2 linked regions of the Arabidopsis thaliana genome follow. The protein of the gene in region 1 interacts with the protein of each later gene in a pairwise test. Each region holds a gene or a part of one and is shown in the gene's direction. Other genes may lie near its edges.

Region 1 (3,828 bases):
ATTTTTTTTTTAATACTTGAAAAAAGATATACAATGCGAGTAGAAAACAAAATACAACGTTTCATGGAAATCAACAAGAGAAAAAAGGTTCCAACGAAATTCGTAACTGCAGGTTAACCCAAACAGATGTTTCCAATACATGAGAAATTCGAAAGTTATGTTTTTTTTTTCTTTCTGCAAATGATGTTTTGATGATATATATGCGGTACATATTTTCAAAAATAGATATTATATTTTTTAAGGCATATATATTACGTGGTGAAGACTTAATTGTAATTGTACCTTACGTGCAAACATGATCACATAATCATCATAAGAAACCATAAATTTCTTTACTATTTGTTTTACTATCTTCACTTTAAATTGAAGTTTATTTTTTTGCACAACCTGTCCAAGAATTAAGGAATGGTACAAGTGTACAACCGTACAAGTAGGACATGGAGTCAACGACTCCCCCAATATTTTCCATGAGTTTTCGTTCCACTCGTAAAAAAAGAAAAAGACGAAAGTAATCTATACGTATTAGATAATTAGTATTTTTGATTGTTTGATAAAGTCTACGTATTTGAATGTCTAAGTAAATTCCAACCTTCTTAAACAAAAGTTAACTCCATTTACACTAAGAGGTCGTACGAAAATATATTCAAATGAGTTGAATAATTCTTGATCAATATTTGGTGAAAAGTTATAACTATAGTTTCCGTTCAAATAAACGTTTTGCGAAGGAATTTTCCACATAATTTTCTCACAAGTTAAGTTTTTTAACATCAAGAAAAAGTATTTTGATGTTATTATCCTGAGTATGTAAGTTCTAATTAATATCTAAAAATATAATTAAGACTCTGTCGACAACTAAATATCAAGGCCATATAGAGCATACTTAACAAAAAAAAAAAACTTACACCATAATACGATACGAGTATGGACACTTCATAATTTTAGTAAATTATTTAGAACATGATTACCACATTTTATTTTATACGACAAAACTACATGGATTTTAGGAAATCTTGAGCTGGAGTTGAGATAAAAAAGAGTCAATTTCAAAAACGAATAATTAAGTAGATCTTAAGGAAGAAATAAACGAGTACTTTCCTTTATACAATTATACTCGTGTTTCATCGTAGCTGCTGGTACGCGCATTTTTTTATAACAACGAACGTTCTCGCGTCTCGCCGCGTTTATCACGCTGCTGGATTCAACTCGCTTATGCGGTTATGCCACATTGTTTTAATTCCTTTTTGTCGTATTACACTTTTAACTAGACAACATTATTCAAAAAACAAATTGTGTTTATATTAATTAGAAATCTTGAGATTGATGTTACGTAAATAAACTAACATCGTGATTCGCGAGATTCGAAATGTCATATAATCACAAAACTAAATTTTTTTTTTTATTATTATTATACTAGTAATAAAATACTCAGAATTTAGTTTATTTTATATTAAAAAATGTTTTTAAAAATGTAAATATATTTGAGAATTTATGACCACTTATAATTTATAGTCCTTTTCATAATTTACACATTCATCTAAATAGAAGAAAATGAAGGAGTAATATTTAAGCTGAAGCACAAAATTATATATGAACTAACACAGCAAAGAGTTAAGTATTATTTATCAAAAAACAAAAAATAATGATTCATTTGAAAACAGTTTTATTGTTTTCATAAAATATATTCAAACAATTTTATTTTATTTTTTGATATAAAACCGAATTCAAATGAACAAAATACTAATCTAAAATTTAAACGTAATTTCCTTGTCTTTTTTTTTTGTTGTCTTTGCCCTTTTTTGTTTGGTCGACTTCTTTATATCTTGATAATGAGCTGGCGGGAAAAAGAGAAGAAATCTCCGAGCGACTTCTTTCCAAACTTCCTTGTCACCTTCCTAAGTGATGTTGTCTATATATAAACTTGTTCTTTCATTCTACTTAATGATTAGACCAACAAATAAACATTAAACCCAAATGATATATTTTGGTAGATCAATCGACAATCATTATACAACAATGATGACAAAAACATTGGAGATTGATTTGAGATCAGCAGAAGGGCTTAAGCTAAACCGGAGACCCATCAAGAAAAAGACTTTCGCCGTCGTAAAAATCGACGAGAAATGTCGAAAATCTAATCTTGACGAATCGAGAAGAAGCAATCCTACATGGAACTATAAATCAGAGATGCCCATCAATGGTAATGAACAGTTTATCTTCATTGAGGTATTTTATCGAACAGGTTCTGGGCATGATAAAAAAATCGGAGAAGCTAAAATCCCAACGAATGATTTCATGGGAAGGTATTCACCTGAAGGTCACTTAAACTTCTTGAGCTATAGATTGAGAGATGAGTTTGGTGATAAGTGTGGGATCGTCAATCTTTCGATTTTGGTTAAATCGGATCCCACCAGAGATTACGGCGCGTGTTCGTCCCAAGCGGCGGTTACTGGTTTGTGGAGGCCGAGATTAGAGACGGCATCGATTGATGGATACGGTGGCCGGACTGTTACCGGAGTTCCGGTTTGGGGTCTGTATCAACGCCAATTTTAAAATCTTTTTTTTTTGGGGGGGGATGCACATATTATTAATTCTTCGTCTTTGTTCCATAGATTTTCCCAATTTGGAATTGAGGAACAAAGATGTGTGATTAATTTTTGTTATAATACTCACGAAACCAAAATTGAAAATAGAAAAGTCAAATTTGTTCGACGATGATATCTAAGAACTTGTTGTTATAGTTCGTGCATGGTGTGTTTGTTGGAAGAAGAAAACAAAAAAAAAAAAGTCTTGCAATTGTTCTGGTTTGTATTTAATGATTGTGAGTTATTGTAACGTTACTTGCGTGGTGATTTGTTGCGGATATGATTAAACAAATATCTAGTGGTATGTTTATAATCAATTTAAATTGTTTTGAGAATGTTACGTCATATAATCTTTTTTTTTTTTTGTCAAAGTTACGTCATATAATCTATGATATTTAATCCTTCAAAAGAAGAAGGATTTTCCTCAAGTAAAAAAAAAAAAAAAAAACAGAGACAAATTGAAATATTTATATTTGTTTCACTATGATAGATTATGGGCATGTTTACAAAAAAATCGAAATGAAATTGTAATATGTTTATGCTGTGACAATTTTATACCGCACAACTTTAAGACTAGATAAAAGTAGTTTCTCTGCTGGTTAGAGAAGAGATAAGACTTCCACGGATATAAAATGTGCAGTGTTAGATGTACCTCACGTGGGCACTTTGTTATGGACTTATTTTGGCTTCACTACGACCGTCTGTTCTTGTTTATGATTTTTTGTTTGAATTGATTTACTAATTAACAACTTCACAAGATTATAGAAATTTCAACCATTTTGGTAAAAGTTTGTTGGCGCAATTGGGCTTAGTCTCTGATTTCGGCCGACTTTTAAAATAGCGGCCACTGGCTTCAAGCCTTTTACTAAATCCACACGTTTCTCTCTCGTTCGTTACTTACGAGTTACGGCTTACGACTACAACACAAAACCCATTATTATTTTAGATAATCTTTATATGACTCTTCCTCTTTATCGCCCCACTAAAAACCAAAATTTTTGAACCAAACCAAACCAGTATTCGGATTAATTATCCCTACTTACAATCATATACTCATGTCAGGAGGACAACTGTATACACCCAATATTTTTAGTTTTCTTAGATACATAGTTTAATAATCAAAAATTATGATTATCCTAACGGACTAATTCATATATTATATGCTACTTTGAGTGTTCTCACACATCTGATGTTGCATATAACAAAACTAGGTATGATTTATCAAGTTTTTGTTTATTTCCATTTA
Region 2 (6,335 bases), on another chromosome or scaffold:
GTTGCTCATTTGTTCCTATTTGTCTTTGTTCTGGTAATGGTTTAGGTATACTTCTAAGATGCTCCTAGCTGCTATTGATGAGTACTGTAAAGGAACATATGATTTTCTTTATTTGCCAATTGACTTCAAGGTATGCAGGCCTCTTACCTGTTTTTTCATCTAATGGAGTCTAATGCAGCCTTATAGCTTAGGGTATTTTCTACATCGATATAAATGAACCTTCCTTCTATTTGCAGAATAAATGCAATGTCGGATATGCTTTCATCAACCTTATCGAACCTGAAAATATTGTTCCGTTTTATAAGGTATAAGCTTTGTACCTTTTTATGATCAATTTGTGTAGATGATGTATCATTGTTCTTTAGAAAAAAAGGAAAAAAGCGTTTGGTTACAAGTTTAAAACCTTAACAGGCATTCAACGGTAAGAAATGGGAAAAGTTCAACAGCGAGAAGGTGGCATCGCTTGCATATGGTCGGATTCAGGGGAAATCAGCTCTTATTGCCCATTTCCAGAACTCAAGTTTGATGAACGAAGACAAACGTTGCAGGCCTATTCTCTTCCACACTGCTGGTCCAAATGCTGGTGATCAGGTAAGGAAGACAAGGGCTCAATTGATATCCTTATTCAAACTATAACCTCTTTCTGTTGCAAGTAATCATATCATCTGGTAGTTATGTATTCACTATAGCGTGACACACATAAATTAGGTTCATAGTTGGTCCTAATGAGAGAACCTATTTCCCTTTCAATTAGCTGTTTTTGATGAGAGATTACTGCATTTGTAAATGTGCAGGAACCATTTCCAATGGGTTCAAACATCCGGTCAAGACCAGGCAAGCATCGAACAAATAGCATCGAGAACTACACCAACTTTAGCAGTAGCTCTGATAACCGAGACGAACCTGCAAATGGGAACGACTCCATGTAACCGATAAGCCAGACAGTTTTCATGTCGTAAGCCAGACTAACCCTTTTAGGCGTCTTGTATCAGAGGTAAAAGAAAAGAGACCCAAAAGATTAACACAAGGTAAAATATATATATATCGTTGACAACCCCACAGCTCTGTAAATCCTTGGGGGTGTGGTAAATTACCTGAGAAAACTCATTTTGCAGAGGAGAAAGTTTTTGAAGTCTTGGTCCCTTTAAACTCCTTCAGGTTACTTCACAAGTTTTGTTGTATCACTAAACCTCCCAGAGAAAACCTTGCTTGATTTTTTTTTCTTTTTGCTTTCTAAGTTTTTATTTTTCTGTTTTACTTAAAAAATTGTTGGGTTGTGTCTACAAGGATCTTTTTCTTTGTACTTTGCATACAAATGTAACAACCTAGTACGATGTGTTCAGTTTCTTCGCCCGTGGCTTGGGACCATATAATATCATTTATGTAAACCCTTTTGAGGGCGAAGTTTTTGGCATTGCTTTCTTCTCTTTTGGTTTTTAGTGTTTCTTTGAATCTTTAGTCGGTCACTTTATAAGCTTCTGACACAGTCAGTTGTTTAAGGCTTCCTCTTGGAATAAATAATACTACTAAGACACTTGGTCTCTAAATTTTCGACTATCAGAATTCTTGGTTGGATACATTTTTGGCCCCTGAGAGTAAGTGGCCCATTTATGGCAGTGGAGGACCTCCTTGGCTCCTTCTCCAGTCCAGCTCTTGTATCCATCCATTATAAGGCTTTGGAAAGAAAGAAGCAACTGGGTTTGGTCTGCAACACATACTTGATGATTCTCTTGGATAAGGAACCGATCTCATGAACTATATTCTATAATACTATATAGTTATTCTTGTTATATTTATAGAAACAAAAAGTTACTATATATGTAGTCCAGTAGTAATTATGCTTTTGAAAAAGTTTTGTTAGCCTTTCTGGTGGCGAAATCTTTTTTAATTGGTCATTACGTAAAATTGGTGTGTCTTATTATTCACGTCTCCCTCTAAAAGATGCGTTCTCTCTTTCTTTGTTCCTATTTCAATTACAGTCACACCGCATTATAAAATATATTTTTTTTAAAAATACTTTTATTCCCATAGAACTATAAACAAAATTATCTCTTAAACGTCGGCTTAATTCAAAAATCTGATACTAAGACAATTTTCCGATGTGGACCAAAATATATACAAGTAGACCGGTTGTAGTAAATATATTCACGTGATCTTACAGCCAATTTAATACATATGGACCATCTAGTTTTCCACTAATCAAACATAAACCTACACTAATTAATTTGGGGAATACTTAATTCTTTATGTTGTCAATAATTTCAAAACAACAATAAAAGGAAATTAAATGGAGTCAAGACAGATCGTCGACTTGGAAAAACAAAGGTGGGTCCCATCTAATTCACTGTCCTGATTTTTCCTCTTCTTTCCTTGTTCGTCTCCCCCCAATCTCCTCCTCCTCTTTTTTTGTTCTGAAGAGACTCTCGCCGTCTAATGGGAAGCTGTTGGTCTGATGGCTCTTACGCTGGTGGAGGAATGGTCGGTGTTGGTGGTGGGGCTAATTCCTCCGCCGCCACTCCTAACGACGCCGTTGACTACTATCTCAAGTCTCGTGGCTACAATGGCCTCTTTTCTCAGATCGAGGTCTGTTTCTTCCCTTTTCCCTTCTTCAAGACTTGAAATTTTTAGTTTCACTCATCTTTTTTTTCTTTGTTCGCAGTTATCTTTCTCTGCTTCCAATTTGCGAGACCGGGACGTGATTTCAAAGGTTCGTTTTTTTCTTCCAGAAAACTGATATTCCTGGAGCCAATTAAGTGTTATAGGTTTGATTCAAGGATAGTGTATATAAGCTTATATCATTACTTTGGTTGTTATATCTCAGAGTGATGCAATGGTGGTTGTTTATACAAAAGGAAGAGATGGAACACTTGCTGAATTGTTTCGTAGTGAAGTTGTTTTGAATTCTTTGAATCCTAAATGGATTAAGAATTTTACTATTGGTTATCAGTTCGAGATTGTGCAAACATTGCTGTAAGTGAAGTTCCTTGAAACCTCGGTTATATGTGTGAAAAACTTGAGGAAAAGGAATCAACTTTAACACCTTTTGCTGCACAGGTTTCGTGTCTATGATATTGACACTCAGTTTCAAAATTCTAAGGAGGAGGTATCTGCCAAAATTTTTCATCTTTTCGTTTGTCACTAGGTAGTCTTAATATAAGTTACACTTTTTTTTTAATGTTTTCAGTTGCTTAAGCTCGACGAACAGCAATTTCTCGGTGAGGCAACATGTACATTGTCCGAGGTATGCCAACCTCTCTATTACATCATTTTTAGTGTAAGGAAGAGAAGATAAACTTGCTATAGATTAGTTTGATTTAGATGTTGTGTTGACTGTGCAGGTGGTTACCAAATCAAATAGGACGATTGCTTTAGAACTTATGCGTAAAGAAGGTGTTGCTGCACAGACTCAGCCACAACATAATGGAAAGCTTATTGTTCATGCTGAGGAGTCTTTAGCTTCTAAGACCAATACAGAGATTGTATTTAGGGGGTTGAATTTGGAATCAAAGGATACTTTCTCTAAAAGTGTAAGCTATACTCTTTGACCAGTTTATCTCAGTATACTTCAGACATGAATATAACACTGTTGTTGTTCATGCTCAGGACCCGTTTTTGGTGATATCTAAGATTGTAGAGCACGGGACTCCAATCCCGGTCTCTAAAACAGAAGTTTTAAAGAATGATCCCAATCCACTTTGGAAACCAGTCTCTCTAAGTGTTCAACAAGTGGGGAGTAAGGTAAACCAACCAAAGGGGTTTATTATATCTGAGTTTTGTCTGACCAGGAAGATGTATTAGTTTCTCTTTTGTAATCTTGCAGGACAGCCCACTGGTAATAGAGTGCTTAGACTTCAATGGCAATGGCAATCACGATCTGATAGGGTTAGTCACAAAATCTCAGTTCCTTGCATTCTTTTTTGGTTGAGATATGAAAATGATTTGCTGAAGCTGAGATGATTCTTGTATCTTATTGGTTTTGCCAGAAAAGTTCAGAAATCACTGTCAGACTTAGAAAAGCTTCATTTGGCTGGCCAAGGAATCAATTTAGCCTTACCTACTGGTGTTGGACATAAACATGAAGATAGGGTATAGACCTTCAACAACAAGAGGTTTTTACACAATTTAAAATGCGAGAATTCTGATAACATTTAGCATTATTTCAGGTATTAAAGAGCCAGCTTTTCGTTGACAAGTTTACTGAAACCGTCCAGCATACATTCCTAGAATACTTGGCTTCTGGATTTGAATTGAACTTCATGGTTGCAATTGATTTCACAGGTAAAAAGATCTGAAAAGTGCAGAGTTTTTCTAGACTCTCTCTCTCTCTCTTTAAACTAATCCAATTTGTCCCTTCTTCCATCAGCTTCAAATGGAAATCCTCGCCTGCCAGATTCCTTGCATTACATTGATCCTACAGGACGATTAAATGCCTACCAGAGAGTAAGAACTCGATCTATTCAAGTTAATTTGCAGAAGCTGGTGACTGTGTGTGATCTTTCTTCTTTCTATTCAGGCAATAGTTGAAGTTGGAGAAGTGTTGCAGTTCTATGACTCGGACAAACGCTTTCCCGCATGGGGTTTTGGAGCTCGTCCAATCGACATCCCGGTCTCACATTGCTTTAACCTCAACGGAAGCAGTACTTATTGCGAGGTCTTGCAACAAATCCTACTCACATTGAACTAACTTTTGTATCAAAATTTCTCAATTAATCTTTGTTATTTGATTGTTTCTCAGGTAGACGGAATTCAAGGAATCATGAATGCCTACAATGGCGCTCTCTTCAATGTCTCTTTTGCAGGACCTACTCTATTTGGTCCTGTAATCAACGCTGCTGCAACAATCGCAAGCGATTCACTCGCTCAAAGTGCAAAGAAATATTACGTCTTGTTAATAATCACAGTGAGTTTATACACAACAAGACGTGTGATTTTCCTCTGATTCTTGTGTTTTTATCTATATGAAAATACCATGTCGGTTTTTTTGTAGGATGGAGTAATAACAGATCTTCAAGAAACGAGAGACTCAATTGTCAGTGCATCGGATCTCCCATTATCAATCCTCATCGTTGGAGTCGGAGGAGCTGACTATAAAGAAATGGAGGTTCTTAAACAAAAACGTTATGCTTAACTTCATTTGAAAAACTTCTTGAAATAGATTCTTACAAGGTTTATGTATTGGTTGTTTGTATAGGTACTAGATGGAGATAAAGGAGAGAAATTAGAGAGCTCCAGTGGTCGAATAGCATCGCGCGATATCGTCCAGTTTGTTGCATTACGAGACATACAATGTGAGTCTCGTGTTTCTTGATTTGTCAGGCAGAGTTTTGGTCTCTGATCATTGTGGTTGTTGTTGTTGTTGTTGCAGATGGAGAGGTCTCAGTGGTAGAAGCACTTCTAGCAGAATTGCCAACACAATTTTTGACGTATATGAGAAACCGTAATATTACTCCCACCACCACTACTCCATCTTCTACTTGATCCACACTCTCAACACTGTACATACATCAGTCAGTCACAGCTATAAACGCTGTCGTCTTATCTTGGCTTTTATTTTTGTTTTTTTCGATTTTATATTGTCTGGAATTTTTCCGTTTTCCAGTATTCCACGTCAAATTATATCTCATCACTCTTCATTATTATATTTGTTGTCAAAAACATAATTTATTATATATGCCAAATTATTAGTTGGTTTGGGCGTATTCACATAGATATGTACTGTTTCAACGGTCAACATATATAGTTGTTGACTTTCTTAATTTGGTTGGGATTTAGGTGGACTTTCTAAGTCTAACTTTTATTAAACGTGACCGTTGATTATTCTTTACCGTACTTGTCGCTGAAACAGATACTGTCTATTACAGCAACAAAACGAGACCTTAAAATATAAATATTCTATTATATAGTATCTATTTTTAATCTCATAATACTAAATCTGAAATTTTGTTTATATATACGTATTGTGTTATAATTATCATAAAATTGAAAGTAAATTTTTTAAAAAAGTTGTCAAGCCGTTTTATGCAAAAAAGATTTTTTTTTTAAAAAAAAAATTTACATTATGTGACGTCGTTAAACTCATTTTCCCTGCTTGGCAAATTCACAAAATGTTGTTTCTTCGTTCTCGTCAACAAATCTGAAAATACCTACACATGCCATGTGTATATCCTGTTTTAAAGTTTAATTTTTTCATTTAAATTCAAATTCATTGACATGTCGTTGTAAGATACTCTCAACCTTTTTTCTATCAGATTGACTTTCTTATTAAAAAAGTCACTTTCTTTTCTCGTAATCTTAGCTATATAATGTCATTTTTGTATAATTTAGACGTAGAAAAG

Evidence for each region.
Region 2: the proteins of BAP1 (region 1) and BON2 interact in binary tests that used the Arabidopsis thaliana proteins (3 or more experiments, as listed by UniProt).

Annotation. Positions count from the first base shown.
Region 1 is NC_003074.8:22,649,559-22,653,386, reverse strand, and holds BAP1 (BON association protein 1), read left to right. Parts: upstream 1-1,788; 5' UTR 1,789-1,971; coding exon 1,972-2,550; 3' UTR 2,551-2,784; exon of another isoform or gene 2,785-2,933; intron 2,934-3,011; 3' UTR 3,012-3,228; downstream 3,229-3,828. UniProt on the Arabidopsis thaliana protein: Negative regulator of cell death and defense responses. Exhibits calcium-dependent phospholipid binding properties.
Region 2 is NC_003076.8:2,297,563-2,303,897, forward strand, and holds BON2 (Calcium-dependent phospholipid-binding Copine family protein), read left to right. Parts: upstream 1-2,162; 5' UTR 2,163-2,433; coding exon 2,434-2,583; intron 2,584-2,659; coding exon 2,660-2,707; intron 2,708-2,821; coding exon 2,822-2,970; intron 2,971-3,054; coding exon 3,055-3,103; intron 3,104-3,184; coding exon 3,185-3,241; intron 3,242-3,338; coding exon 3,339-3,527; intron 3,528-3,603; coding exon 3,604-3,738; intron 3,739-3,820; coding exon 3,821-3,882; intron 3,883-3,983; coding exon 3,984-4,086; intron 4,087-4,163; coding exon 4,164-4,278; intron 4,279-4,363; coding exon 4,364-4,440; intron 4,441-4,513; coding exon 4,514-4,651; intron 4,652-4,735; coding exon 4,736-4,900; intron 4,901-4,987; coding exon 4,988-5,101; intron 5,102-5,191; coding exon 5,192-5,288; intron 5,289-5,365; coding exon 5,366-5,478; 3' UTR 5,479-5,706; downstream 5,707-6,335. Other genes in the region: ML4 (MEI2-like 4), read left to right, coding at 46-130, 237-305, 412-591, 795-929. UniProt on the Arabidopsis thaliana protein: Negative regulator of cell death and defense responses. May repress a number of R genes and may have effects in promoting growth and development. May function in membrane trafficking and in fusion of vesicles with plasma membrane.